Macaca fascicularis: one gene and its partners. The protein of the gene in region 1 interacts with the protein of each later gene in a pairwise test. Links are inferred from orthologs where the notes say so. Each region holds a gene or a part of one and is shown in the gene's direction. Other genes may lie near its edges.

Evidence for each region.
Region 2: the proteins of TRIM23 (region 1) and ARHGEF3 interact in binary tests that used the Homo sapiens proteins (3 or more experiments, as listed by UniProt). The link is inferred for Macaca fascicularis from reciprocal best matches to the Homo sapiens genes TRIM23 and ARHGEF3.
Region 3: the proteins of TRIM23 (region 1) and TRIM29 interact in binary tests that used the Homo sapiens proteins (3 or more experiments, as listed by UniProt). The link is inferred for Macaca fascicularis from reciprocal best matches to the Homo sapiens genes TRIM23 and TRIM29.
Region 4: the proteins of TRIM23 (region 1) and LNX1 interact in binary tests that used the Homo sapiens proteins (3 or more experiments, as listed by UniProt). The link is inferred for Macaca fascicularis from reciprocal best matches to the Homo sapiens genes TRIM23 and LNX1.
Region 5: the proteins of TRIM23 (region 1) and ATPAF2 interact in binary tests that used the Homo sapiens proteins (3 or more experiments, as listed by UniProt). The two-hybrid records come from large-scale screens. The link is inferred for Macaca fascicularis from reciprocal best matches to the Homo sapiens genes TRIM23 and ATPAF2.
Region 6: the proteins of TRIM23 (region 1) and BRME1 interact in binary tests that used the Homo sapiens proteins (3 or more experiments, as listed by UniProt). The two-hybrid records come from large-scale screens. The link is inferred for Macaca fascicularis from reciprocal best matches to the Homo sapiens genes TRIM23 and BRME1.
Region 7: the proteins of TRIM23 (region 1) and TNFAIP3 interact in binary tests that used the Homo sapiens proteins (3 or more experiments, as listed by UniProt). The two-hybrid records come from large-scale screens. The link is inferred for Macaca fascicularis from reciprocal best matches to the Homo sapiens genes TRIM23 and TNFAIP3.

The regions. Positions count from the first base shown.
Region 1 is NC_088380.1:71,308,240-71,312,227, reverse strand, and holds part of TRIM23 (E3 ubiquitin-protein ligase TRIM23), read left to right. Parts: intron 1-294; coding exon 295-416; intron 417-2,638; coding exon 2,639-2,917; intron 2,918-3,469; coding exon 3,470-3,652; intron 3,653-3,988.
Region 2 is NC_088376.1:120,162,063-120,166,757, reverse strand, and holds the start of ARHGEF3 (rho guanine nucleotide exchange factor 3), read left to right. Parts: upstream 1-1,707; 5' UTR 1,708-2,423; intron 2,424-4,695. UniProt on the Homo sapiens protein: Acts as a guanine nucleotide exchange factor (GEF) for RhoA and RhoB GTPases.
Region 3 is NC_088388.1:118,981,828-118,985,815, reverse strand, and holds part of TRIM29 (tripartite motif-containing protein 29), read left to right. Parts: intron 1-803; coding exon 804-896; intron 897-3,099; coding exon 3,100-3,198; intron 3,199-3,988.
Region 4 is NC_088379.1:80,433,985-80,437,972, forward strand, and holds part of LNX1 (E3 ubiquitin-protein ligase LNX), read left to right. Parts: intron 1-1,709; coding exon 1,710-1,887; intron 1,888-3,762; coding exon 3,763-3,988.
Region 5 is NC_088390.1:18,132,678-18,135,472, reverse strand, and holds the end of ATPAF2 (ATP synthase mitochondrial F1 complex assembly factor 2), read left to right. Parts: intron 1-1,505; coding exon 1,506-1,643; 3' UTR 1,644-1,929; downstream 1,930-2,795. UniProt on the Homo sapiens protein: Plays a role in the assembly of the F1 component of the mitochondrial ATP synthase (ATPase).
Region 6 is NC_088393.1:14,324,849-14,329,432, reverse strand, and holds the start of BRME1 (break repair meiotic recombinase recruitment factor 1), read left to right. Parts: upstream 1-1,462; 5' UTR 1,463-1,510; exon of another isoform or gene 1,511-1,872; intron 1,873-2,844; 5' UTR 2,845-2,865; coding exon 2,866-2,896; intron 2,897-4,584. Other genes in the region: CC2D1A (coiled-coil and C2 domain-containing protein 1A), read right to left, coding at 1,069-1,128. UniProt on the Homo sapiens protein: Meiotic recombination factor component of recombination bridges involved in meiotic double-strand break repair.
Region 7 is NC_088378.1:41,910,741-41,914,728, forward strand, and holds part of TNFAIP3 (tumor necrosis factor alpha-induced protein 3), read left to right. Parts: intron 1-412; exon of another isoform or gene 413-688; intron 689-789; coding exon 790-1,099; intron 1,100-3,988. UniProt on the Homo sapiens protein: Ubiquitin-editing enzyme that contains both ubiquitin ligase and deubiquitinase activities.

The DNA.
Region 1 (3,988 bases):
TGCCCGTCTCAGCCTCCCAAACTGCTGGGATTACAGTCGTGAGCCAATGCGCCTGGCCAAAAAATAATAAATTTTAAAGTGTGTTTCTACTTGGAAGCCTGAGGGATTCTTCTGTTTTTTAAAAGAGAGTATTAACAAAGCAATTATTTTGGTATCAAATAATGGGGAAAATTTGAATTTTTCAAATTTAGACATTAACGACTGAACTATATGGATTAGAAATTACTTTTGAGGTATGGGTAAAACGATTAATAGTCCATTTTGTTAGATTTAGTTTTTGTTTTTATATTCTAGGAGATTCAGGTGTCTGGGGCTTGAAAAAAAATTTTGCTTTATTGGAACTTTTGGAACGACTGCAGAATGGGCCTATTGGTCAATATGGAGCTGCAGAAGAATCCATTGGGATATCTGGAGAGGTATTGATCATACTTGGTGAAATATTTGTTACGAGCATGAATTTTTCTTTTAATATATGCCATTATTAGCACAATATTACCTCATTTAATTCAGCAGGTAAATTTCTAGAAACACAACTTTGCATTACATTACAGTTCTAAAGGCCAGCACTATTCCCAAGAGAAAAAAGTAGAACTAGAATTATTTGAAAATACGATGCCTAAACTATGCCTTATGTGTGAACTTTTTTTCCCTTATCATAATTCAGTTCTACCAAGGATAAAGTGAAAAGAGGAAGAAGATTATAGCATAGTAAGAAAGATAAGTAAGCAACAGTGGAGCAGAGGATGCAAAAGTAAATTAGTCAACAGAAAAACTCAATGAGAGAAAGTAAAACTCCATGTAAGAGGCCATTTAATATACAGGGAAAATTGCCTTAAAGATAGCAGTAGCTTCTGAGGGAATTGTTACTATTCTATCTTCAAGAAAAAGTTAAACTTTGTATAGATGTACTGTCTTTATCCATACAGGTAGATATCTGGTAAATATTAGAATCCATGAACACTGGATTTTTTAATAATGTAAAAGTATATTTTTAGCACTTACGTATTATTTGCACAGCTGCACATATGTACTATAGGACATGGCTTTCATAGGCTATTATGGATAGAAATATATTTGGAGTAAATATCAGTTAATGATTTTGGTGATCAACTTGCAAACCACATATTTGTATCAAGAAAAAAAATGTCGGATTGCTTTCTGCTTCTCTTTTATTAGATGATGATTTCTTTATACTGAAGTGAATCAGTGAAATTAATTTCAAACTGCAACACTCTGTTTTCTAAAATTTCTGCAGTTCTTTCATGTGCTAAATCTTTACTTCAAAAGACATTACTGTTAGCTAATGTTGACTTTATAATTTATAATTTATTTATTTGTCAGGTCTGGAAAACAGAAGACCTGAATTTTTATGGTACATATATACACTTCTTATAATTGCAAACAAAACTCTTCCACTTTGGATTCGTTTTTTATTTAATGTGATAATGAATGACACCACTGATGTATTTAAACATTTTTATTTTTGAAAAAATTTATACTAAATTTCTCCCCTTCCACTTATGGCCTTTTAACGTTTAGTAAAAGTGTTCAAAGCATTCTTGATTATCTGACATGTAATATTTTATCTACTTGAAATAAAAATAATTATTTAGTAATTATTTTTTGTAATTCCTGAAAACTAGAAATAATATTTAGATGCTTACATATAGGTTTTATTTGTTTATTAATTGTTATTTTTTAAGACAGAGTCTTGCTCTGTCACCCTTGCTGGAGTGCAGTGGCGTGATCTCAGTTACCTGCAGTCTCTGCCTCCTGGCTTCAAGTGATTCTTGTGCCTCAGCTACCTGAGTAGCTGGAATTACAGGTGTGCACCACCACACCTGACCAATTTTTGGATGTTTAGTAGAGATAGAGTTTCTCCATGTTGGCCAGACTGGTCTCTTACTCCTGGCCTCAAGTGATTACCTGCCTCAGCCTTCTTAAAGTGCTGGGATTACAGGTGTGAGCCACTGAGCCTGGCCTATTTTTTTTTTTTAATTATTTGCTTAAATCAGTGGTTTTCTGCCATGATTGTGCAATAGACTCACCTGTGGAGCTATTAAAATATGTGGTGTATAATTAGAAAAATATATACAAGTCTAGGGTTCATCCACAACCTGTTGAAATAAGAATTTCTCAGATTAGCGTCCAGACAACTATGTTTTTAAAAGCTTACAGCTAATTCCTACATTTTCTAAATAGTATTTGTGCTTCTGTCCTTCCTGTACATCATCATGACAACTAATACTTAAAGCTATGGGGTTATGTTTAGTATCAGATTTTTGTAGTTTTAAAAAAAGACTTTTGACTTCTCTATGGTTTAGTTTCTTTTGTGTAAAGTGAGGGGATTTGGTGGAAGAGATCTTTGCACCGAATATGAATCTACGAGAATAGTTTTATTTTTGGCTTCAAATTCATAACATATATTGGTCAGTTAATCTTGGAAATAGCTTCTTACCTGTAGAAATGAATGTTTCTCGGATGAGTATTGAATGACCTTTGTGCTTAATGACCAATATATTTTCATATGTAAATATTGGTCAGTAAAGCTAAAAAGATTATGGGATTCTATATTTAAAAATTTGTCATGTTATACTGATTGGGTTCAATTTTAAGGCATTAATTTTTTGTTTATCAGAGCATCATTCGTTGTGATGAAGATGAAGCTCACCTTGCATCTGTATATTGCACTGTGTGTGCAACTCATTTGTGCTCTGAGTGTTCTCAAGTTACTCATTCTACAAAGACATTAGCAAAGCACAGGCGAGTTCCTCTAGCTGATAAACCTCATGAGAAAACCATGTGCTCTCAGCACCAGGTGCATGCCATTGAGTTTGTTTGCTTAGAAGAAGGTTGTCAAACTAGCCCACTCATGTGCTGTGTCTGCAAAGAATATGGAAAACACCAAGGTCACAAGGTATGAATTTAATTATTAATCAATTGGATCACTGTAGCTACTTTACCAGCTCAGTATTCGTTTTCACTGACCTGGTTCTTTATTCTGAAAGTAGGCATTGAAGAAGAGTTAAGTGATGAATGATTGTGTTTGGTAGCATGAAAATAAATGAGAGATTTAATTTCTAAATGTTATTTAAAAAAGAAAAACTTCAAAGAGCGTCATTCTTCACAAAAAAATAGCCTTTGAGCAGGAAACAAACATTCTCTTTGTTTGCATGTTTTCATAATGCACCAGATTGTTTGACAATATTTATGTCTGTTAGCTCTTACTTAGGATATAATTTTAGAGATAGTCTCTTGGTTTCTTATTTAGCAATAAATGTACTTCCAAATTTTAAATTACTTCTTTGCAGTACAGTTTTCTTATAAAGGAGTGAAAGTAAATTATAGTATTTTTCTGTGTTATAAAAGTCACTTGTGGCTGATGCTTTTTTGTATTAACAGGGATTTAAATATTTTTCTATATTATTAGTCAATACTATGAGTTCTTTTCTCATGTTACATTTTATAGCATTCAGTATTGGAACCAGAAGCTAATCAGATCCGAGCATCAATTTTAGATATGGCTCACTGCATACGGACCTTCACAGAGGAAATCTCAGATTATTCCAGAAAATTAGTTGGAATTGTACAGCACATTGAAGGAGGAGAACAAATCGTGGAAGATGGAATTGGAATGGCTCACACAGAACATGTATGGTTTTTTTTTCTTCTTCCCCTTTCTCCTTGTTTTTTATTTTTCATATTTTCACCTTCTACTAAGTATTTAATGAGCAATTACAATTTGCTAGTATTGCACCAGTCATTGGAAAGTTTTTTAAAAGTCCCTGTGTTTAAGGAAGTCATTCATCACGGAACAGAGAGAGTTTTAAATGTGGTGACTATTTTATGGAGGAGAAGTACAGGGTGCTTTGGCATCACAAAACGGGCAATGATTTATGGAGGTCAGAGAAATCTTTAGAGAAGAAACAATGTTTAAACTGAGATTTGAAGAAATTCAGTCAAGGAAAAGAGCAGAATGGGGAATGAA
Region 2 (4,695 bases), on another chromosome or scaffold:
TCCATGAGGTCAGGGACTGTCTGTCTCGGTATCTGGGGACAGTCACTACTGTCCCCAGAGCCTAGCACAGTGTGTGGCATGTAGTAGATGCTCAAATAATTGTTAAATTGAATCTAATGCAAAGAAAACTTTTCTCTGACAAACCTGCCTGAGTAGAACACCAGGTGTTGGCTGGTGGATCTGAAGCCACTGCTGAGCTCAGATGAGGGAGCAGGCACTTCAGAGACAGGAGAAGCCCTTTGCTTAATAAATGTAATTACTTGATAAACACGGCTGGTTGTCGTAGGGATCTTCTGCATTAGGGAGTAAGGAGAATGACAAAAGGTTCTTGGGGAAAAGACTGAGGACTAGGGGTCTGGACACAGGAGTTGTCCTTGGAAATGGAGTACTGGGGAGAGTGTGTTCCCTGAACAGGAAACTGGTGGGTCACAATGCATTGGGTCTGGGGTCAAGCTGTAGTGGAATGAAGTTGCAGCTGTTGGAATAGAAGTTGGTTTGCTCAAGATGCCCAGTTTCTGGCCCAAAAGGTGGGCTGTAGGCCAGGAAGAGGCCACCCAGCACTGCGGGGCTGAGCACTGGCAACAGAAGGCAGAGGTTGCTATGAAGTAAATCTGGAAGATCTGCATCCCAGCTGCTGCTGTCACGACAGGTGGCCTCCCAGGGAGCTCTCAACCCTCACCCCCTTCCTGCACCTGGGCAAGAGCCTTAGTACCTTGGGCTGATGCTCTTTCCTCTGTAAACAGGGGGCCAGACTGTGATCCTCTGGCTCTGGGGGCTGGCTTCACCTCGCTAAGCTTCGATTTCTTCATTTGAGAAGCGGGCCCGCACAGGCTGTCGTGAATGTTAATTTCGATCAAGCACCTAAAATGCACTGCCGGCACATGGGGGCAACTGATGAATTTTTCATTTTTAGCATCGGGGTTTACATTTTCTTAAGAGCCCAGTAACGACAGTCTAGGGCATTCTTTATTTCTGATTTTAAGAGGTGATGAGGACCGTAGGCGTTCATCTGTTGAATGAATGAATGCCTGCAGAAACTCGTTTTATTTAGAGTCCCATGTTGATTTCCGCATGCACGACCCAGGCTCCTCACTTTCAGGCTCGGCGTCCACCTACAAGCCGGCGATTCCTGAGAGCCTACAGTGCGCCCGGATTCACGCAGCTCGTTCTCATTCTCACCTCCACCATCGAGGAAAGTGAGGCTTGGGCAAGATCTGACACGCCCAAGATCTGCCCAGCGGTGGGGGTGGGAGCTCCGCGTGCAGGCTCTGGCCCTGGACCGCTAGGGCAGCCCCTACCACCCCCGCACGAGAGTCCCCTCCCACTAGGGTACCCGGCCCTCGACCCACCCTCGGGGTTTCCGCGGCGCGTTCTCTGGCGGGACAGCTGGAGCCAGAGGCAGGGCTGTTTACTCCTCCGACTCGGTTAATTCTCTCAGCCTCAGTCTGATTTAGGTGGCGGCGGGGGAGGGATGTCCTGGGGTCTCCGCTCTCCTCTTTCTAGCCTTCCCGTAGACCTAGGCCGTGCATGGGGAGCTGGAGTGTCGAGCGGTGGCCGGGCGTGGCCACGTCCTAGTCCTGCGTCGCCCGGCTTCGGCGCCCGCGGGGGTCCCCGGCCCGCCTCCCGCCCACGTGGCCGGCCCGGCCTCCCCGCCCCCGGCCCCGCCCCGCCCAGGGGATCCGCCGCCGCCTCCGCGGTGAGTTCTCCAGCCTGGAGAGGCCGAACTAGCGCGGGGGCCGAGGTGAGTGCGGGCAGCAGCCGGGAACCCCGCTCCCCGGCTAGACCCTTCCCGGCTGGACACCCCCTTGGTGGGACACCCCCGCTAGATCTCCCGGAGTGAGACCCTCTTCCGGGCTGGTTCCTCCTTTGCCCCGGTCCCGGAGCTGGACCCCCGCCACTCCCACCTCCGAGTTACCCCGCCAGGTCTCGGCGCCCCCGGCGGGACCTGAGCGCTCCCTGGTCTAGGGTACGTCCAGCGCACGGGGGCGCACTGGGCGCAGTGCAAGTGGGCAGTGCCACCGCCAACCTCGACCAGTCGTCGCTCCTGCTGGGGACCCTGACTCTGGTCCCCGGGTAGCCCCTTGAGCGAAAATTCCCGGAGCCACTTCCTGGGAGGGAGGCGCCACCTGTCCTGGGACGCGCCCCTTTCGCCCAACTTTCTTCTCCAGCCTGGCGGGGCACTCGCAGGTCAGCGTCGCGTTGCGCGCTGCTGGTGGCGGCTCACAGGGCTGCGGGTCACTTCGCGGCGGGCGAGCCGGACTCAGGGCGCTCCGGGCGGCGGGCACCGTCCCAGCCTGCCTGAGGCCCTTGTCCCGGCGGCTGCATCTTTTAAACCGAGCGGCCAGAAGATCCAGAGATAGGACGCCAGGGTGGCGGACGCCAAGGGGTTAAGGTCAGCGTGGGTGCCTCGCAGCCAGAGACGGGTGAGCGTTTTCTGAGGCCGACTGAGCCGAGTGGAAACGGGTTCCCATGGGCTTTGCGGTGGTGGAGAGCTGCTTTTGCACTATCAGCGGCCCCATCACGCGCTTGAATGTTGCGGAAACAGAGCGCCTTGTTCCTAGAGGACTCGGGTTGCTGGATTTACTGCCTGTCCCAGGCTTGCTTCCCGCACTGGGCGAGGACGTGGGAATTGCCAGACGGTAGTTGACCTGAATGTACCGGTAGAAACTTATTTTTAAGCGTTTCATGCACTACCCAGGTATAACCACTTTCTTCCCTGGGGTGTGGAGGAGGAGAGCTTCGCTGGATCTTTGTCTTAGCTGTGTAGTCCTGGGCAAGTTACTTCACTTACCTATGCCTCAGTTTTCTCATCTGTAAGGTGGGGATGAAAATAGTACAAACCTTAAAGACTTGTATAGGGATAAAGTGCTTAAAATACTGACTGGGGCAGGATAAATCCTCTGTGTTAGCTGCTCTTGTGATTATTATCACTGACATCTAACAGCGCGTACACAGCCCTAGCTTCTCAATGAGGTGGGTCTGCAGGCTGTTGCTCCTTCCCCTTCTTCTGGTAAGGAGCTGGTGGTGTTTACACAGGAGCCATGGTGTTCTCTTCCGCCCTGGGAAATTTGAGCTTTGCTGTAATACTTCCTGTGGCTAACCAGCCTTGTGCAAAGTATATCTCAGAATGTGGAATTAGAGATGAACTTTGTCAAGGACTCTGTTGGGAAGTGGGGTCTTGGATCTTCTTTGGAAGCTCTGGGGTGCGATTGGATGTTTGCCTCTTGTTGGCGGGGGGAGGGTGGGTAGATTTCACTTGATTCTTTTAGGCCTTGGGTCCCCTGACAGGCTGATATTGTCTAGTCTCTGTGAGTGCGGGAGTCTCTTTCAGGGTCCGGGGACCTGATCTTGTCTTCTTCTCCCGCATTCATTCATCTCTAGCAGATTGCTCCCTCCATCTGTAGAGTTCTCCTGGGCTGCACCCGTTTAGTATCTTCTTGGAAATTTAGTTTCTGTCTTCTGAACTCCACAGATAAGAGCTCTGTACCTGGAGCCCCAGGGAATGTCCTGAAATATACATGAGGCACAGTTATTTTTCCAGAAGTTTCCCCTTACATTGTATTCTCCATGAGGCCTGTAAGTGGACTCTGAACTTCTGGTAGGAAAGTGAAGGTTCTTGCCCCCGTTACATCTCAATTCCCTGCAAATTGGGGGCTGCCCTTGTTCACCCTCCCAGAACGCACTTTTCAGTAGGCAATACAGGTCAGCCTTGACTTGGTCAATTAGGGGAAAGAGACGCAGGCTGTGAGATTAGGCACTGTTGGCCTGTGGTGAGACCTTTAGGCTGGGATGCAATTCATGAACGTTTGAGTTCAAGTTTTCAGAAGACTTCTGAGGGCCTTTGCACTTGCTGTTCCCTCAACCTAGCATGCTTTTCCATCACTTCTTCCATGCTGGGCTCTTTCTTGCCCTTTTGCCCAGATGTCTCCCCTGTACAGATGGTTCTTCTGACTACTCTATCCAAAGCAGCCCCTCCCCCATTAGTTTCTATCACATTCTTTCTTGTATTTTATTCATAGAGCTTGCCTGGGATGATCTTATTCATGCATTGATTTATGGGTTTATTGTGTGCATCCACCCAGGAGAACATAGGATTCAAGAGGGCAGAGGTGTGTTGTCCTGTTCACTACTGACTCCTGGCCCATGGCATATAGCTGGTGCACAATAACTGTCCTGAGTGAATGAACACCCATTGACTGAAGTGAGGCGAGTTTGGAGAGTAGTGAAATGCAAAGGAACTAGTTGCTGGTCGGGAGCTCAGGGTTGAAAGTGACCATGAATGTGGCATACTTTCACCTCCAGATTAAATCACCTCTGCAACATCTCTTCCTAGTTACTGTTTAACCTAAGCTTGAATCCTCTAGGCACAGGGAACTTGTCGCCTCCTGCAATAGCCTGTTCCATTGGAGGAGAGGGAACAGAGAACTATTGAAGGAGAGGGAACAGAGAACCAGATGCAGTCCCTGTACCACTGTGATGAGGACGAGCTGTGGCCTCCTGCATGCTACCGTTCTAGTCCCTCTGGTCTGCTTCGTGTCCTGACCATCCTGCATCCATCAATATCCATCTCTAAAGTTCTCTGCCATAACTAAGGTCCCTGAGCTCCTGACCAGAACTTAGTATGCTGCCCAGTCATGTGTCACCAGAGGGGGTCTGAGGCAAAGAAGCATGAAGCAGAAAGGCCATTGCCATAGT
Region 3 (3,988 bases), on another chromosome or scaffold:
GAAGCAGGTTCCCCCAGCATCCATGCCCAAGCACTGTGGGTAGCCTATGCTGAGGATGGGAGGGACAGGAAATCTGCCCTCTGGGAGCTCCCAGGCTCAGGGTGGAGGTGTGGGGAGGACACCAAGGAGTCACCAAGGAGATGAAAGAAACAAGGCTCCTAAAGGGACTGGGTCCTGAGTCTGGGAGCTCTGAGGTCAGTGGGATTGACAGTGACTGTGACTCCTTCCCAGGAGGGGTGAGTTTCCGGGAACCTGTGCTCAGTAGAGGGGCATGACTGCGATGGGCAGAGGGCATCAGGGACCACAGGCATAAAAGCTTACAGGAAGGACTGGCAGGGCCAGAACTGGGGGTGTGGTGTTATGAGAGGGTCAGGTGGGGAGGGACAGAGGTAATAGAGGACCAGAACACACATGGGGAGCTCATTGTTTTCAGCTGGGTATCAGTGGGGTTATCAGTCCCCACTGCTTCCTCACAAGGCTGTTGTGAGAGCCCAGGTGTGCGGAAAGGAAAGCACTTGTGAAGTGAGGCTCTGATCTCCCACCGCTTCTGCCCCTGTGGTTGCCATGGCCTCTCCAGGTTTATGCTGATGCTCTCCTCATGGTTACTAACAGAGCCCTTCTACTCTTCAAAAGCATGCCAATTTTGGTGATAAATTAGTTGATTGCCTTATGTCAGACCCGAAGGACCTCTCTCAGTGGTGGAATCCAGGTCCTGTGATGGGCACTTGGGCAACTTTTTGGGGACAAGGTGTCCTGCATGAGACCGTTTTCTGCAATGACAGCCCCCTTCATCTGCTTCACAGGTGGGGCCCGGACATCATACCAGCCCTCATCTCCCGGCCGCTTCACCAAGGAGAACACCCAGAAGAATTTCAACAATCTCTATGGCACCAAAGGTAGGTGGTGGCTCAGCTTGAGGGTGCACAGAGTTCATGGGGACTGTGCAGGCAGGAGGGGTATAGAGGTGGGGCCAGGGGGCACGGGGTTCAGACCCCAGTGTGAGATGAATGTGGGAAGCTGGGATGGGTAGGGGGCCCAGACACGGGTGGAGAGGGGTCCTACCTACCGAGCTTAAAGTGTGTGTGTGTGTGTGTGTACATGCATGGGGCACACAGTTAGGCTGGAGGAAAAATAGCCAGGAATCTCGGCATCCGTGGAGATCCTTGAGTCCGTGTGCTCTTCTGATTCCTGAGGAAGGATTTGGGGAAAACTGGGGCTGAGCAGCCACCTTGGGCTTAAGTGTGGGGAAGCCCCCCAGCCAGTATGAGGGCACGAGGGCCCACAGAGAATCTACTGATTTGCATACTTCTGCAGTGAAAAGTCGTACAGTGGTTAGTTGTTAGCTTGGCTGTGACTGGAAAGGAAGGCATGGCAGGAAATGGGACTGGCCCTGGAGCTCCAGGAGGTGAGGCGAGTGAGCAGCACCTTAAGACCTAGATGAGATGAAATGGGGGTGGGGACGTGGCTTCCCTAGGGGGAGCTGCTAAGTTCAGGGTCTCCTTCTGCCCAGTGCTCCGAGGGGACCATTTGCTCCGGGGCAGGGCCATCCACTCAATGAGACCTGGTTCTGGGAGCCCTTGGTTCTGTCCTGGGGGCTCCTGGTCACGTGCCAGCCATGCACGGGGAAGGAGGGGACTGGGTCAGCCCCCGCCCCAGACATAGCACTGGAGGACTCTTCTGTGAGGACAAGAGCCATGGAGACTGGAGGGTCAGGGGCACCACAGCAATGCCTGGGCCTCTACATCCAGGATTGGATTCACAGCCGTGACCAGTGGCACCCCCTCCTCCACATATGCAGTAGACCATGGGCACCTTGAGGACAGAGCTGTGTCTGTCCTGTTTGCTGCTACAGGCCCAGAGCTCAAAAGTAGGAGGGGGTCAGGAAGCGGTTGTTGAGAGAGAGACTAAAGGCATGAGTGAACAGAAGGGCAAGGTGTCTGGCCTCGCAGAGCCCTGGCTAGACGTGCTCACTGAGGCCTTGCTACAGAGGCTGCCTGGGATCCCTGTGGGAGGGCTTTGCACAGGGGCAGGTGGCCAGCCCCAGCCATCTCTGACCCCTGAGCCCGAAAGTCAGCCCCCAGCCCTCCCCACAAGCAGCCAAGGGGTGAGCTTGACTAAGGAGGTCACTGATGTTTCAAGCCTGGCAGATGGGGGTGCTGGAGAAGTGTGCATCACCCACGGGGGCTCTGAGCCCCCCACTCTAGTGCCCTCTGAGTGCCCTAGCAGCTCCTCCCACCCCCTTCCCATTGCCTTCTCCTTTGGACTATGGGACATGCCTGCACATAGGCGTGTGCTAGCCTATTCAACTTGGCAACTATCGACTGTCTCATCCCCAAGTTTTAGGATGTGTTTGTATTTATTTGTTCATTGGTTCATGCATTCTGTCCATCAACCATACAATGAACACCTTCCAGGAACCAGGCTCTGTGCCAGGCACCAGGTGTGATGTAGGGGCCAGACAGGCACATTCCTAGTTCATGTGAGCTCACTGCGGGAGACAGACAATTGAACATATAGTTGCCACCCAGAGGGTAGGGGGTGCAGGATGATGTGGGGATGGGGCTGAGGCACATGCAGACATTGGGGAGGTGCCATGTAAGCTGACACTTGAAGACCCCACCCTTGAATCGCCGAGGGTGGGGAGCAGGAGAAGTGTCCTAGGCAGAGGACAGGGTCTGGGTACATAGCCTGGGGCAGGAGAGAAGCTGGAGTGTCTCAGACACTGAGACTTAGCCTGGTTTGAATGTCCAGTGGTGGAGGGAGGATAGAGGCGAAGCCAAGAAGTGGGAGATGGTGGGTGTGTGGTGGGGATTGGGGAGAGCAACTCACGACAGAGCCATGGGCTGCGCTTGGGACGTTGCGCCTTATTCTGAGGACAGTGGCCTTTAGGTAGGGCAGGGACTGGACTACGCTTTATATTTTAGAAAGGTAGCTATGGTGGCAGAAGGATGGGGGTGAGGTATCACTGGGATCACAAGTGGCATCCTGGGTTAAGTTGTGGCCGGCGGCTGGAGAGTCACAGACCTGGCTGTGTCCTGGTCCTGCCTCCTCTCCCCCTCCCAGCTGTGGGGGCCTGACAGCCCTTCTTTGCCCTGCCAGGTAACTACACCTCCCGGGTCTGGGAGTACTCCTCCAGCATTCAGAGCTCTGACAATGACCTGCCCGTCGTCCAAGGCAGCTCCTCCTTCTCCCTGAAAGGTGAGCTTGCCCACCCTGGCCCCTGCTTTCCTCCACAGCTGCCCCACACCTCCCAAACCCTGCTTGGGTCTCTTCCCTGAGCTGCTAGTTCCTCCCTCACCTCGCTGTCCAGTGACCACAGCCTCTCACTGGACAGAGATCTGGCCCAGGACAGACCCTGCTTGTTTCTTGAGGGCCTCAGCTTCCAGGTCATGGCCTGTGTCTTCCCAGGCCTCCCTGCAGGCTGATGGCTGACACTGAGAGTGCCTTCACTGTGCTGTGAACCAGAGCTCCTTTCTGGTCTGTCTGGGCTGAGGCGGAGGGAGTCAGGGCGGCCCCGCCTTAGACTAGCATCTTTGTAACCAAGCTCAGAGAGCGCACCTGCTCTGGGCCTCTCGGGCTTGCCGTCCTAACCCTGGGTGGCGGCCACACTGACAAATTCCTGCCTCTCTCTAGGCCCTAGTCTCTGGCTAGTGAAATGGGAGAGGCCACAGAGCCGGGGAGAAAAAACGTGAATTTGGGTTTGGGAGTCCGGCAGCACCTGGTTTGGAATCCTGACTGCTGCTTATAAGCTGTGCAACTCAGGCAAACTGCTGAGCTCATAGATACAGGGGCCAGATGAGAGCCCGGGAGCTGCCACCATGGTCTTTGCTGAAAATGAGGACAGGAGTGGGGGCTGGGCTACATCAGCGTTTCCCAGGGCTTGTTTCACCACTCTCTAGTCTCTACCTACACGCTGCAACAACAGCTCTCAGTGGTCAGGATGGGGGGACACACCATATCCCCTGCACCCAACCTCTCTGATCCTCAG
Region 4 (3,988 bases), on another chromosome or scaffold:
ATTAACTAGAATATGTCATATTCTAAGTCATCAAATTATGGAGAAGGTAGCCTCCATCTGCACTGTGGTTTTATAATTCCTTCCACCTCCTCCTCATGAAAGAGCTGGGAGGATCTGATCACATTTCTGCTGCAACCCTCTGTCATGTGTCTTAATTCCTGGAAACATACAAATTGACTTAGTGGGAATTGTAATTATTTCCATTTTAACTTATATTCTATCTGCCTTCTGAAATATCCTCACAAAAAAGTAACATATTTAAAATAAAACTAAGACATATATGATTCTTTGATGATTTCAATTTTTATATTCTTACTAAAATTTTGTTTGGTTTAGGAAACTAGGTAGCTTTTTAAAAATAAGAGCTTAAACAATTCAAAGAAATACCAAAGAAGACAAAGCAGGATTTGTGGGACAGAAAACTTTTAGCCAATTAAAAAAGTCAAGGAATGATAGGCATCAAATTTTGCATGGTTTCCCTCTGTGGGGAGGAAAGGACTATGAGCAGAAAGAGTGACAGAGGGACTAAGTGCACATGGAATGTTTATTTCTGATGTAGGGTTTTGAGGTACATGGGTAGGTCATTCTGTTATTCTTTATGCTTTGTTACTTGTCTAAAATGTTTTATTCTAAATATCCAAAGCAAATATTCTAAAATAGAAATACGTCTTATAGTTTGAGAAATACTCAGGTACCCATCGTGTTTTTAATTAGCTTAAACTATTTTATCATAAATTATGTTTTTAAACATCAAGGAACATTTTAAGGTGTCCAAAGTAGGGTGAGGAGAATGGAGAGAAAAGATAGATAGAAAAGTCATCTCTATCATACATAACTATCCTCCTCTCCAGCCAAAGTCAGGTAACCCCGGGTATGAAGCTTTCACAGATTATTTCTTTTTTTTTTTTTTCCCATTGCTGACATTGGTCTCTTTCTGGTTGAGAAAGGAAATGGTCATGAACATTGGTTCATGAGACACAGAACACATGCATACATGTCGTATTTGTGGTATTTCAGCCATTGCATCCAGCCCCTCAGTGCACAACTAAACATCGCTTGCTCACCGCAGGCAAGGCTGTCTGGTAAGTACTGAGCAGGTGTGAAAGAAGACTCTATAAAATGTGGTTACTTTTTTTAACTTAGAAAAGTTTCTGATACTCATAAATGACAGTGTTTCTGAAATGCTGACTCACTACTATCAGGAATAAATGACTCACTTGCGAAATTTTGAGTGCAGTCTGTGTACTTAAGATTCTTCCATGGCCAGACGCAGTGGCTCATGCTTGTAATCCCAGCACTTTGGGAGGCCAAGGCACTTGGAGCCAGGAGTTCGAGACCAGCCTGAGCAATAAAGCAAGGCTTTGTCTCCACCAAAAATATTTTAGAAATGTATTTTTCTAATGGTCTCTAATCTGTTCCTTCCTCCATTTTTACTCTTTCCTTTTGAAATGTAAACTTTATCTGAGTTAACCTATAGAATTTGGGACAATGTAACCCTATTATGGTTGGGGTGAATAAGTTGAGGGTTCTTTCCACGTGTCTTTCTCTGTGATTTCAAGAACCACCATTGTATTTATGCACTTTTCATAATTTATGCAGTTTTGGTAGTTTTTGCATTTAGAAAACGGAAACCCACTTTGCATTTTCTACATTCAAAAACTACCAGAGTTGTAAATTCATGTGCCATGTTTTTCTGTCTGTGCTTTCAGCCCCTCCATCCTAAAATTACTTGTCATGAGAAGGTGGTAAATATCCAAAAAGACCCCGGCGAATCTCTCGGCATGACCGTCGCAGGGGGAGCATCACATAGAGAATGGGATTTGCCTATCTATGTCATCAGTGTTGAGCCCGGAGGAGTCATAAGCAGAGATGGAAGAATAAAAACAGGTAAAAAGTAAAGGGATGTTAAAGGCACTGGGGTGGCAGAGTATTATGAGAAATTAGTAGCTTGTTGTGTTAGGTGACTATTTTCAAAATTAATGAGAGAATGTGGGAGTGATCAGCCAGGACTTTTGTTACCCATTGCCCTTGACTGGTTTGAGTATAGATACTAGACCAGGTTCCACTCTTCTTAGTTGCAGGCCAACTTGCCTGCAAGTAAAGCTGGAATCTCCAAACAGTTCCAGGAATTAATAGAGAACTGCTAAAGTTATGAGCAAGTTACCTCTATTAAATGGCATAATTTAGTTCCATTCATTCTACATGGTTCTTTGGTGGGTTGATCCAGTGGTGAAACTAATTCATGAATTATTCCATTATGTGAGTTAGATAGAAAAACTCATTTGATAGATTTGATTCCATGAATACTCATTAAGTGAAAGTATCATGCTAGATACTTTCCCAGGGTGAAAAGTATTTCACTACTTTAAGCTCATATGTTCTGGGCTACTTTGAATAAATAAAGGAAGGTGATATCAAATTTGCCTCTACAAATATGTATCCTTAATAATATTGTCAGTTCATACAAGAGGGTAGCTCGGATGGATGAGGATTTATGCCATTTAAAAGTCCAGATTCAAGAGATATATTGAAGTTTCCCAAGTACAGTTGCTGAGCCTGAGGAGCCACAGGGGGATGGTATATTAAGAGATTTAGTCAGCTGGCTGAAAGATGCTTCTTTTGGGTCAGAAAGGACTCAGGGCCCTTCTCTTTTTTCTCCTCCTATCTTTTTTGCTCTTGCTGTGGTTATTCTGTCTAAGAAAGATAAGCAAAAGAGGACAGAAAGAAACAGGATGAAGATAAAAGAATAGAAAATGGAAATAGGAGAGATGTATGTTTTAATTTCTCTTTTCTGCAAAACACCTGGGTGGAGAATGATGAGGCCAAACAAAGTGGCTTGTTAACAAATGACTTCTTAACAGAACATGAGCTAGAGGATTATATGATCTGTATGGAAATGATCTTGCACATTGTAGGTGCTTAATCAGTAGTAGCTATTTTCACCTTGGCAATGAAAATGTTGTTCTTTCTGCTTCTTTAAGAGTGCAGCTCTGGCCGGGCGCAGTGGCTCACGCCTGTAATCCCAGCACTTTGGGAGGCCGAGACGGGCGGATCATGAGGTCAGGAGATCGAGATCATCCTGGCTAACACAGTGAAACCCCGTCTCTACTAAAAAATACAAAAAACTAGCCGGGTGAGGTGGCGGGCGCCTATAGTCCCACCTACTCGGGAGGCTGAGGCAGGAGAATGGTGTGAACCCAGGAGGCGGAGCTTGCAGTGAGCTGAGATCCGGCCGCTGCACTCCAGCCTGGGCAAGACAGCGAGACTCCACTTCAAAAAAAAAAAAAAGTGCAGCTCCACGACTCCTCTGCCAGACACTCTCATGGGTAGTTTCTTTTCATTCAATCCATATTTACTGGATGCCTACTACATGCCTGGCTCTGTGCAAATGCTGGAGCTTTTGCCAAATCCTCCTACTTTATGCTAAACACAAGAAACAAAAGAGTGAAAAAGTAGGTTTTCTTTGATTAAATAGTGAACAAGACTAATTTTCCTCTCTCTCTTCCTTCCTTCCTTCCTTCCTTCCTTCAGCAAGAGCCAAACACCAATAGGTGTGCTTTAGAAAACCCCAAACAAGTCTTAACGGCACCTTGGAATGCACACACTTTACCATGTGCTTTGTGGGCACCCAGCCTCCCGTTAACAAAGAAAACCTTTACCCTCTGCATGTCTGCATCCCATCAGCCCCTACCCCCTTGCACTTGAAGCAGAAGTCATGTTTGTGCTCTCACTCAAGATAGCTTCTGCTTCTCTGGCCATCAGGTGACATTTTGTTGAATGTGGATGGGGTCGAACTGACAGAGGTTAGCCGGAGTGAGGCAGTGGCATTATTGAAAAGAACATCGTCCTCGATAGTACTCAAAGCTTTGGAAGTTAAGGAGTATGAGCCCCAGGAAGACTGCAGCAGCCCAGCAGCACTGGACTCCAACCACAACATGGCCCCACCCAGTGACTGGTCCCCATCCTGGGTCATGTGGCTGGAATTACC
Region 5 (2,795 bases), on another chromosome or scaffold:
CAGAACCGATTACATAGGAAGGGGGTGACTTGTAGGGCTGGTGGGAAGCCAGTCTGGGCACTGCTTCTGACTATGGGACCCAAGCCAGGCCATCATTCTCTGAACTTTGGTTTCGATCCTCTACAAACAGAGGAATAACCTGAATTATGTATGTGATGGTATACAATGAAAGTATGGAATACTCTTCAGATGACTTATTACAATTGTACAGTTTGGGACCAGGCAGCCCAGAAGTTCAAATAGCTTGTGTAGCATGGCAGATTCTGAGTTCCTGGATGAGCTGGGGCGGCCAGGCCAGGCCTCTTGGGCAACTAGCCAGGGAGGAGCCAGCAGGGTCTGGTTGGAGTTACACTGTCTGGACAGCCACACCGTGTGTCTGAGGGTTCCTCCCTCTTGTTTTTAGAGCTCCAGACCCATCCTGGCTAACATGGTGAAACCCCGTCTCTACTAAAAATACAAAAAACTAGCCGGGCGAGGTGGCGGGCGCCTGTAGTCCCAGCTACTTGGGAGGCTGAGGCAGGAGAATGGCGTAAACCCGGGAGGCGGAGCTTGCAGTGAGCTGAGATCCGGCCACTGCACTCCAGCCTGGGCGACAGAGCGAGACTCCGTCTCAAAAAAAAAAAAAAAAGAGCTCCAGACAGAGAATCTGCAACGTGTCCCCAGTGTGCAGAGCAGAGGCATCTGTAGTTCTGTGACTACCACAAGAGTTAGAGTTGAAGCCACTGCATGGCCTTGCTTGATTTAGTTATTCCACCCACATGGGGCTCGGGGTGCACTTGTAGCCCAGCATGGCAAGGCAACTTGCAGAGGCTGTCCGTTCACAGGCTTCCCGGGAGGAAGTGTAGGAGAAGGGATGGCACATAAGTCAGGCCTCCTCAAAGAAGTCACATGGGTGGTTCTGGTACCCAGCCTGCTCAGTGGTGGGTGGGCAGCTACTGGCCCTGGGCCTGGACTGTACTTCTTCTAGACCATCCATGCCACAGAAAGCACAGGTGCCTGCTCTGGCTCCCTGAGTGGTTGTGTGTGTGTGTATGTGTGTGTGTGTGGTGCTCTTGAGACAGGGTGTTGCTGTGTTGCCCAGGTTGGAGTGCAGCGGTATGATCTTGGCTCACTGCAGCCTCAACCTCCTGGGCTCAAAGCAGTCCTCCTACCTCAACCTCTCAAGTAGCTGGGACTATAGGTGCACCCCCACCACACCCAGCTAATTTTTAAAACTTTTTGTAGAGATGAGGTTTCACCATATTTGCCCAGGCTGATCTTGAACTCCTGGGTTCAAGCAGTCTTCCTGCCTTGGCCTCCCAGAGTGCTGGGATTACAGGCGTGAGCCACTGTGCCTGGCCCACCTCGGTGTTCTTACCTGCCGCCTCCCTCTAGGCATGTCTCGTGTTTTGGCAAGATCCAAACCTGTTGCCCTCAGCCGAGCTATTGGAATGGAATGTGGCTTTGGCCAGGAGGCAGCCAGGCACTGGCCACTCACCCAGCAACTTGTCTTGTCTGTCCCTCAGATCCAGAAGTGGGGCAACATTGAGTGGGCCCATGACTACGAGCTGCAGGAGCTGCGGGCCCGCACCGCTGCCGGCACCCTCTTCATCCATCTCTGCTCCGAGAGCACCACAGTCAAGCACAAGCTCCTGAACGAGTGAGGCCTGGGCAGCACACACTCAGCAGGATAGAGGCAGCGCAGCCACAGCTCCCCCAACCTTCAGGGCTCCTCAGCCTGTGGGGCTGACTTACTTGACTTTTGGGGCCTCGGCCTCAGCATCACCCTGAGATTTCCCTGAAACACAGTGCGCTAGTGCGACTGTCCGGAGGTCAGCCTGATTTCAAACCAGGTGCCCCTGGCCTGGTCAGCAATGAATGTGGGAGATGAATTGTACAACTAACTTTCTCTCAACCCTGATTTTATTAAATATTTCTCCACCCTGGAAATGTGCTGAGCCCTGTTTTCACGTGCACTTCTGCACTTCTCTATTCTTCCTGTTTTGTCTAGGTTCCAGAGGGTTAAACAGCTTATCTCCCATGGCATGTTTGGATATCTGCTGCCTGTGGTTGGGAACCTTGTGCTGGGGAAACAGTCATGTCATCCACAGACAACTCTATTTGTGTTCTTCAGCCTCAACTTGAAGGCTTTTTTTGGCTGGCTTTTAATCAATCTTTTGAAATGATCGTGGTTTAAGCTGGTTGTTTCTATTTGTTCCTACTGTTCTAAAACAAGTGATTTACTCTAGAAAGTAGAAAATGGACAGGCTTGGCGAGGTCACTTGATGTGCATGTTTCCGCTCATCTCCCACCCAGGAGTCCCAGGGGTCCTCCCGACATAGCCACCTCTAATGTCCCAGGAGGCAGGTGGTGCTGTCTGGTGTCACGCCAGTAAGAGGGCAGTGGGGATCCCGAGTGTGGTTCTTAGGCAGACAGGCTGTCTCAGTCCTGTGTCCTTGCCAGCCTGAGTAAGGTAATGGCATCAACCCTGTTCACACGGCACTGATCACATGCTGGGTGCCTCTCCATGCTTCCCACGCACTGTCTCCCTGAACTGTTCCTCGAAGGCACTGTGAGGTACTATCACAGATGACACCAGGGCTGCGGGGGTGTGGTGGAGCTGGGATGCCCCGCCTGTGCTCTGCTCTTCTGGAGGGTCCTCAGGTCCCTGTGACTAACCTCAGCCTTGGTGGGCAGGCCCAGGCCCCCACACTGTGGTGGGAGCTGCAGCCTCTCCTGCATTGCTGCCCCTCAGCACCCAGAGCAGAGAAGGTCTCAGCCCACACTGGCCTCCTTTTGCCTGTGGCCAGCAGCCT
Region 6 (4,584 bases), on another chromosome or scaffold:
TGAGTAGCTGGGATTACAGGTGCCCACCACCATGCCCAGCTAATTTTTGTATTTTTAATAGAGATGGGGTTTCGCCATGGCCTCCCAAAGTGCTGGGATTACAGGTGTGAGACACCGCACCCGGCTTCCATTTTTAATTTTTAATTTTTATTTTAGAGATTCTTGTTCTATCACCCAGGCTGGAGCAGAAGTAGTGCGATCATAGCTCACTGCAGTCTTGAACTCCTAGGCTCAAGCAATCCTCCCTTCTTAGCCTCCCAAATAGCTAGGACTACAGGCACATGCCGCCATGCCCAGTTAGTCCTTTTATTTTTTGTTGAGACGGGGGTCTCGCTTTTGCCCAGGCTGGTCTCAAACTCTGGCCTCAAATGACTCTCCCGCCTCTGCCTCCATCTCCTGAAGTGCTGGGATTATAGAGGTCTCCATTTTACAGATGAGAAAGCTGAGGCTCAGAGCTGTAAAGTCAAATGTCCAATGTACAGAGGCCAGGAGGGAACTTCAGGTCAGCCAGACTCTAATATCTGAACACCAAGCTATGTCCTGGGCTCCTTCCATGAAAACAGAAAAATCAAACTATCTGGTGCCTGGGGCAGAGGAGTTGGGAGAGGGAGAAGGGGCCCAGCCACAGTGCCATAAGTGCCATAAGCTTACGGCTGCGGCCCTGGATTTGTGCTTAGCTCTGGCCAAGCTGTTAATCCCTATGACCTTGGGCAGATGTCTTCACGTCTCTGAGTCTCAACGTCCTCATCTGTACAATGGAATAGAGTCTGGCATGGCCCGACTGATGCAAGGGTTTGATGTGTCAAGTCCGAGGACTGCCCCTCCCCGACTGGAGCAGCTGTGGCAACAGGTGGCCCCGAACCTGGGGCAGGGCCCCAGGAGCTGGGGAGCCAAGGCCAGTAGTAGACCACACTTGAGTGGGGTTGGGGCCTCACCTGGAGGGGGGGCGGGGACCGGGGTTTACCTGGGGGGCGGAGATCGGGCCTCCCTGGGGGGTGGGGCCCTTCCCTGAGTGTGTGACCGGGGTGGGGAGGGATCCCCAGGTCGCGCCGTGGGGCGCAGACTCACCTGGCGGGCGGCCGCGGCGCCTCTGCCCGGGGGTCCCGGGGGTCCTTTCCTCTTGTGCATCTTCCAGGCTGGATGCCCGAACCACCTGCCCCCAAGCCCGGCCTTGCCCTGCCTCCTTCCCCGGGCCCTGTCGCCGCGCACGCGCCCTTCCTGAGTCCTGCAACCCTCGTCGGCGCTCCGCGGCCGTCGATCCCAAGCCCTCGCCTCCCTGCTTGGCCGCCCCACTTCCGCCTCGGGCCTCGGGCGCCGCTGCACCGGAGCGCGGCCACTGGACTCGCCGGGTCCGCCGAGCCGAAACTACAACTCCCGGCAGGCAGTGCGCGGGCGCGCATGCGCTTCGCAGGGCGGTGCTCACAGTCGCGGGCTGCGTGGGCGGTGCTTGCGTCGCGCATGCGCGGGGCGGGGCCTCGCGAGGCGCGGGAAAGAGGCAGAGCGAGCGCAGGTGGGAGGGGCGGCGACCTGTGTGAGGTTCACAGCGTCCCTCAGTCACCGATAGGCTCCGGCTTCACGTGGGCGGAAGGACTCACTGTGAGGACTCACTGTGGAGTTCTCACTTTTCGGTGGTCGACGTAGTGTTAGTGTGGGGCTTGTCACCGGGAGCGGGGTCCACAGCGCCCACCCTCAGGCCTTTCCATCCTTCAGCTCCCGACTCGAGGCCTCCAGGCTTCTGTGAGGGCCAATTTGGCCATTTATTTTTTCCAAAAAGAGTAAACGCTGATAATTCAACCGACTTATTCCCAACGGATCCAGGCAGAGTTCGTCTCTGATAAGGACAGAGGGTCTTCAGCGACTTCTGCGGCCCAGGTCCGTTTTGGCTTGCCTGGCCCCCAAGGCTGGGAGAAACCGGCCTGTGGCAGCTCTTGCCCCTCCAAGGATGCAGCTGTCCCCTTTAAAATGGCATGATCTTGGCTCACTGCAACCTCTGCCTCCTGGGTTCAAGCGATCCTCGTGCCACAACCTCCTGAGTAGCTGGGATTACGGGTGTGTGCCACCATGCCTGGCTAATTTTTTTTTTTTTTTTTTTTTTTTTTTTTTTGAGACGGAGTCTTGCTCTGTCGCCCAGGCTGGAGTGTAGTGGAGCGATCTCGGCTCACTGCAAGCTCCGCCTCCTGGGTTCAAGGAATTCTACTGTCTCAGCCATCCGAGTAGCTGGGATTACAGGTGTGTGCCACCACGCCCAGCTAATTTTTGTACTTTTAGTAGAGACGGACGGGGTTTCACCGTATTGGTCAGGCTGGTCTGGAACTCCTGACCTCAAGTGATCCGCCCACCTCAGCCTCCTAAAGTGCTGAGATTACAGGCGTGAGCCACCGCGCCCAGCCTAATTTTTGTATTTTTAGTAGAGAGGGGGTTTCACCATATTGGCCGGGCTGGTCTCCAAAGGCCCCAGAGGCCCCTGGAGAGTCCTCAAGTGTCCTTGGAAGGGCCCCCAGATACCCTAGTCGGGAGGGAGGGTTCACACAGGCTGTTTCATCCCAGGGACCAGAGTGTAGGTCCCCGGGGCTTCCCATAAGGACCCCCGAGGTCCCATTTGTCTTTCAGGTCCTGGGCATAAGATCTTTAGTTTGGAGGAGGTTTGAATTCCTACCTGGCCATGGTCCAAAGTAGCTGTGACTCTGTGTCCCACGCTGTGTCCCAATGGGAGCCATCTGACCCCTGGGGCAGCCACATGAGCCGAGGTGGAGGCGGGGGTAACCTCTGCTCTCAGCCAAAGCCACTGGATATAAACAGAGACAGGGACTGCTTATAATGATGAGAGATTTTGCTTGTTTTCAGATTTCTCAAGGGGAAGATAAAATGACAAAGAGGAAGAAGCTGCGGACCTCAGGTATGTTCATTCAAATGAACACTTCTTGATTTCTACTTCTGCTCGTGGGAAGAATGTGGGCTTGTGTATTGCAGATTTGGCTAACATGACCGTCCCAACCTCCTTAAAAGAAAATAAGGATTGGCCAGGTGCAGTGGCTCGTGCCTGTAATCCCAGCACTTTGGGAGGCCAAGTGGGCAGATCACAAGGTCAGGAGTTTGAGACCAGCCTGACCAACATGGTGAAACCCCATCTCTACTGATAATACAAAAATTAGCCAGGTGTTGTGGCACGTGCCTGTAGTCCCACCTACTCGGGAGGCTGAGGCAGGAGAATCACTTGAACCTGGGAATCCGATGTTGCAGTGAGCTGAGATGGTGCCAGTGCACTCCAGCCTGGGCAACAGAGCAAGACTCTGTCTCAAAAAAAAAAAAAAAAAAAGAAGAAGAAAAGGATTTAATTCAAATAGAAGGCCGGGTGTGGTGGCTCACACCTGTAATTCCAGCACTTTGGGAGGCCGAGGTGGGCAGATCGCTTGAGTCCAGGAGTTCGAGACCAGCCTGGGCAACATAGTGAGATCCTGTCTCTACAATGTAAAGTAAGGAAATTAGCTGGTTGTGGTGGTGGCAGGCATCTGTAGTCCCAGCTACTCAGGAGGCTGAGGCAGGAAGATTGCTCGAACTGGGAGGTGGAGGTTGCAGAGAGTCAAGATCGCACCACTGCACTCCAGCCTGACTGATAAGAGTGAGGCCCTGTCTCAAAAAAGAAGGAAAGAAAGAAAAATAGAAATAATGGAGAGGGCATACAGGAAAAGTAAAAGTGAAAGTTTTCTGGAGCTTCTGCAAGCCTCTGGTGGGGTCCCACAGCTTAGAGGAGGCCTCCCCAGGCTTCAGGGCAGCGGGACAGCCTCCCTGCGGAACCAGTACTAGAGATGACCCCTGGAATAATGCTTGATGTACTACAAGGCTACTTGGCATGTGGCTGAGTGTTTTACTCTGGGGCCCAAAACCTGGGTTCATCCCAGTTCTGCTCACTGTGTGGTGGTGGATGATTTCCTCTGTGCCTCAGTTTCCCCTTTTGTAAATTGGGGATAATAAAAGTCACCACCCTTTCCTTTAGAGCAGTGTTTATCAACTAGGTGACAGGAAGGGATTTTGACCCCCAAGGGATAGTTGGCAATGTTTGGAGACTTTTTTGTTTTGGAGACCAAGTCTGACTCTTGTCCAGGCTGGAGTGCAGTGGCGAGATCTTGGCTCACTGCAGCCTCCACCTCCCGGGTTCAAGTGATTCTGCAGCCTCAGCCTCCTGAGTAGCTGGGACTACAGATGTATACCACCACACCTGCCTAATTTTTGTATTTTTAGTAGAGATAGGGTTTCACAACGTTGGCCAGGCTGGTCTCAAACTCCTGACCTTGGGCGATCCGCCTGCCTCAGCCTTCCAAAGTGCTGGGATTGCAGGTGTGAGCCACTGTGCCTGGCCTAGAGACTTCTTTTGGTTTTCATAACTGGGGAAATGATACTGACATCTAGTGGGTGGAGGCCAGGGATGCTGCTCAAATATCCTACCATGCATAGGATGCCCCCCAACCACAGAGAATGATCCAATCCCAAATGTCCTCCAAGGTGGAGAATCCTGCCCTTAGAGCTCACATGTGGGTTAGTATCTGTAAAGCACCCAGAACTGACCTAAGGCAGTACACAAATGTA
Region 7 (3,988 bases), on another chromosome or scaffold:
CTATTGTTAGTCTGTTTCTTATTCTGATATGAAGTCCTATTGGGAGGTTCTGAAGGAATGCTGACTGCTCTTAAAATTACAAAGTATCTTGGTGGAAATGGGCTTTTTTATTGATTAGAAAACATTCGGTTTTAACTCTTTATAAACATTAGAATAAACTTTATGAATACACACTTTATAAATACTTCTCTTTGGGAATAAAGAGGAAACACCAGCCAGCAGCCTAAGTGACAGCATAAAATTGCAAGATTTTTCATAAAGTATTTTACTGTCCTTCCAGCATAGGGGAGGGAGTGATAACTCAAGATTTGGCCCAAGAGTAGGATTGCCTGGTGGTGGTCTGAGGGGAGGAGCTACAGACTTGTCAGGGCTATGTTGAGCCCTTAACTGGCATCCGGTACTCCCCAAATCCAGCGCTGTTCAGCGTGGCCTCAGAATGAAACAGGAGCTTACGTTGGTTTTGAGGAGCAGTACCTGTTGCTGTCAGACAGGGTTGGCTCCCTGACAAAAGTTACTGAAAACACGGGTTATTCCCCTCCTCCTCAGTACCCACTCTCTGCCTTCCTTCTCCTGTTTAGGCTAATCTTTTCAAGTGATGTAACTTAAAACAGTCCAGTGTGAGTTAATCTCTGGGGCCAGCTAGTATCCCGGGAGTAGAGGTGCTAAGATCTTTTGCCTACAGATCAGGGTAATGACAAGATCAAACACTGGGGTTTCCTGCAGGCAGCTATATAGGAGTCGTATTAAAGTTAGGCTAATGGAATGGCTTTTTTTTCCTTTCCTTTTCAGGTGTTGGAGAGCACAATGGCTGAACAAGTCCTTCCTCAGGCTTTGTATTTGAGCAATATGCGGAAAGCTGTGAAGATACGGGAGAGAACTCCAGAAGATATTTTTAAACCTACTAATGGGATCATTCATCATTTTAAAACCATGCACCGATACACACTGGAAATGTTCAGAACTTGCCAGTTTTGTCCTCAGTTTCGGGAGATCATCCACAAAGCCCTCATCGACAAAAACATCCAGGCTTCCCTGGAAAGCCAGAAGAAACTCAACTGGTGTCGAGAAGTCAGGAAGCTTGTGGCGCTGAAAACGAACGGTAAAACTTGATCTGTTGTGCTTCTTTTGCCTGGGTGATAGCTCCCGCCTGCTGGGTCCCCATTCAAGCTTTACTAGCACAAGCCCAAGCTCAAATCAGTCTTGAGATTTAGTATTGAGACCTTAGTATAGAATCTCTATTCGGGGCATGTGATAATAGCAGACTTGTTTTGTGAATCTATTTATTAAGGATATTTTCTGATTGCGTATATTGCAGAGCACATTGAGGCTTGGAGAATGCATTTGTAAACACCATACCCCGATTAGGCAATTTGTTTCTCATTCTTGCAAATGTTTAATCATCTGTAAAATACCCTTCACTGGCCCGTAATGGAAATGTTACAAGCCTTTAAGTTCAAAAGGAAAGCATGGTGTGAAAACTGGTAGTACATTTGTTTCCCACTGTCATTAGAAAATGCTTGTGATGTTCTTACACTTCTTGAATTGGTAGCATTTTATGGGTTAACCAGTGAATGGCTGTTGAAGACATGAAGAACTTCGTTTGTCTCCTCCTCCTCTCTGACCTAGGTTCTATTGCCTATGCCCTGCAAGGTGAAATAGATAGCTGAAATTTTTAGCATGAATTTTAGACTTCACCTTCATTATTTTTAGGGGTTCTTAGTCACTGAATTCCTTCCTGTCTGTGCTGTTCTGCCAATGGCCTTTACCACTAGTAGCTATTTCCTATTCCAAGCTTTACTGTTTTGTTTTTTAATCATTTCCCTTGGGTAAGAATATGTGCATTAACAGGAATGTCAGAGCATACTGCTCCATGCAGGCACAAAATTCTACTCTATGGATGTGGATAATTATGACAATAAGCAAGTAGACTGTACAAGATCAATTAAATGCTCATAGTCTACATAAGAGCAGGAATCTCAGGTCCTTATATCTGTGACAGTCCCAAGCCATCCTAATAGAAATAATATGTCCAAGGGAAGAAAATCCTTGTTGACAATGATTACGATAAGAACACTAACTTAATTAACTTCATTGGTACATTAACTTTGGCTTTTTTTGACTTGGGTAACTTAGAGTGATTAGTGGACATGGGTTTTTAAATTTTGATTCTGGGGACTCTTGTACATTACCCCAACATCTTGCCTAGACTTATGAAACACTGATTCTTAGAAACATACATAGAAAGAAAACTGGGGATGGCTACTGTCTGCATTGTTCTTGGCATTAAATAAAGTGATACATAGAGGTAGGTAATTATGTGAAGTCATCATCACGGGGTTTATGTGCCTGACAATTTGTGGTTTTAATCCTCTCCCATTTGTTACCAAAAAGAGATGGAGTCAACTCTGGGGGAGTTAGAAACAAAGATTCTGCTGAATTAAAAATGTGGTAGAAAGGGGAAAACCTTATTAAGAGAATTAACTGACTTTTTGCTTTATTTCCTTAAGAAAGGAAATGCTCTATTTCCACTAGGAAAAAAAAAGGAATATAAATAGGAAACACTTATTTTGCAAATATGTCATTTAAATCAACAAGGAGCCACACTAGAAATAAAACTACAAAAGCAGGTGTATTTGTGTAACATTTTCTGGGAAATCATTTTTGGACTCAGAATCCTTTTGTTTCTTCACTTTCAAGAAAACTCCTTAAGATTCTAAAAAACGAAGAAAAGATATTTAGGGAGGGGAGGAAAACAAATGACTTTTTAAATTTGATTTTGATTAGCACCTTTTAAAAAAAATTAATCCTTCCCTTGATAGGAGGGTTCTTCAAAGGCAATATCTGTTTGGGGAGGGGGTGATTCACAAGTTTGCATTTGAGGATATGAGACTGTGGTGAATGAGGAAGGGAGTAGGTGGCATAAAATTGAAACTTCATGTGAAAAATTCCAGCGTCTATTGGCTGCAGCGATTTCACTTGTATAATGAGTAGCCCTATTCCAGCTCACCCTGACCACACCCACTTGGAAAGTCCAGGGTGCACTTCGCAGTTTAAATGTCTACACACCAGAACAAAAAGTACAATAGCTGTTGCTCAATTGCTAGTCAAATAACTTAGCACTGGGGAATTCCAGATGTTACTTAGGGAATTTTATACTGGTGCATCTCAATAAAGAACTGAAAGTAAGCACAAGAAGAAAAAAAGCCTTATCTTTGCTCTAGATTTTGCAAAGGGGAAATTTCAACAGAATGCAATCATTGCTACACGTCTGCCAAGACACAAGGCTTGGGTGATCTTTTTTGTTCATTTGTTTGAATACTTAGCTAGTTTTTCTAAATGTATAAATTGAAGGAATACTGGCTGTGGATATATATTTGAGGTTTTTTGGTTTCTTTACAGTTTGACTATAATTACAATTTGATAAAATTTCAAATAACTTTATTGCCCTACTTATAGAGTAATATAAGAAACAGTTTAACTTTTCTTTATAAAAAGTATTTTGCACTTGCCAAAGGAGATTAAGGAGTTAACGTTTTTTGTTTTAAACATTCCCCCAAAAGATTTATTGTTTGGGGGTTGAAAAAAATGCAGCCCATTGAATTGTGAGTTTTAAACTGGAAATGTCACAAATTAATGGCATACAATTAAACTTGTTTTTTGTTTTTTGTTTTTTTCTCAAAATGTCAGCCTTAAACACTGAATTATTTTCAAATTTAGACACCCAGGTGCTTTTTAACTTTTGTACTTTACAGTTACTAACAAGCAGGTTTGCATAAGGCATTTTTGAGAGCCGGACTAGCAGGCCATAGGTAATTCAGTGTTGTCAACGCCACTTTACACACCAGGAGAGGAAACTCCCAGGGCCCAAAGGCTAAAGTGGAATGGTCAAGTCATTTGCCATTGAGTCACAGCCAGACCATCCCTGTCTAGCAAGCCATGTCTGCTTCCTGGTTTGTGCGTGCAGCCTTGTGTGCGCTTCCTTAGAATT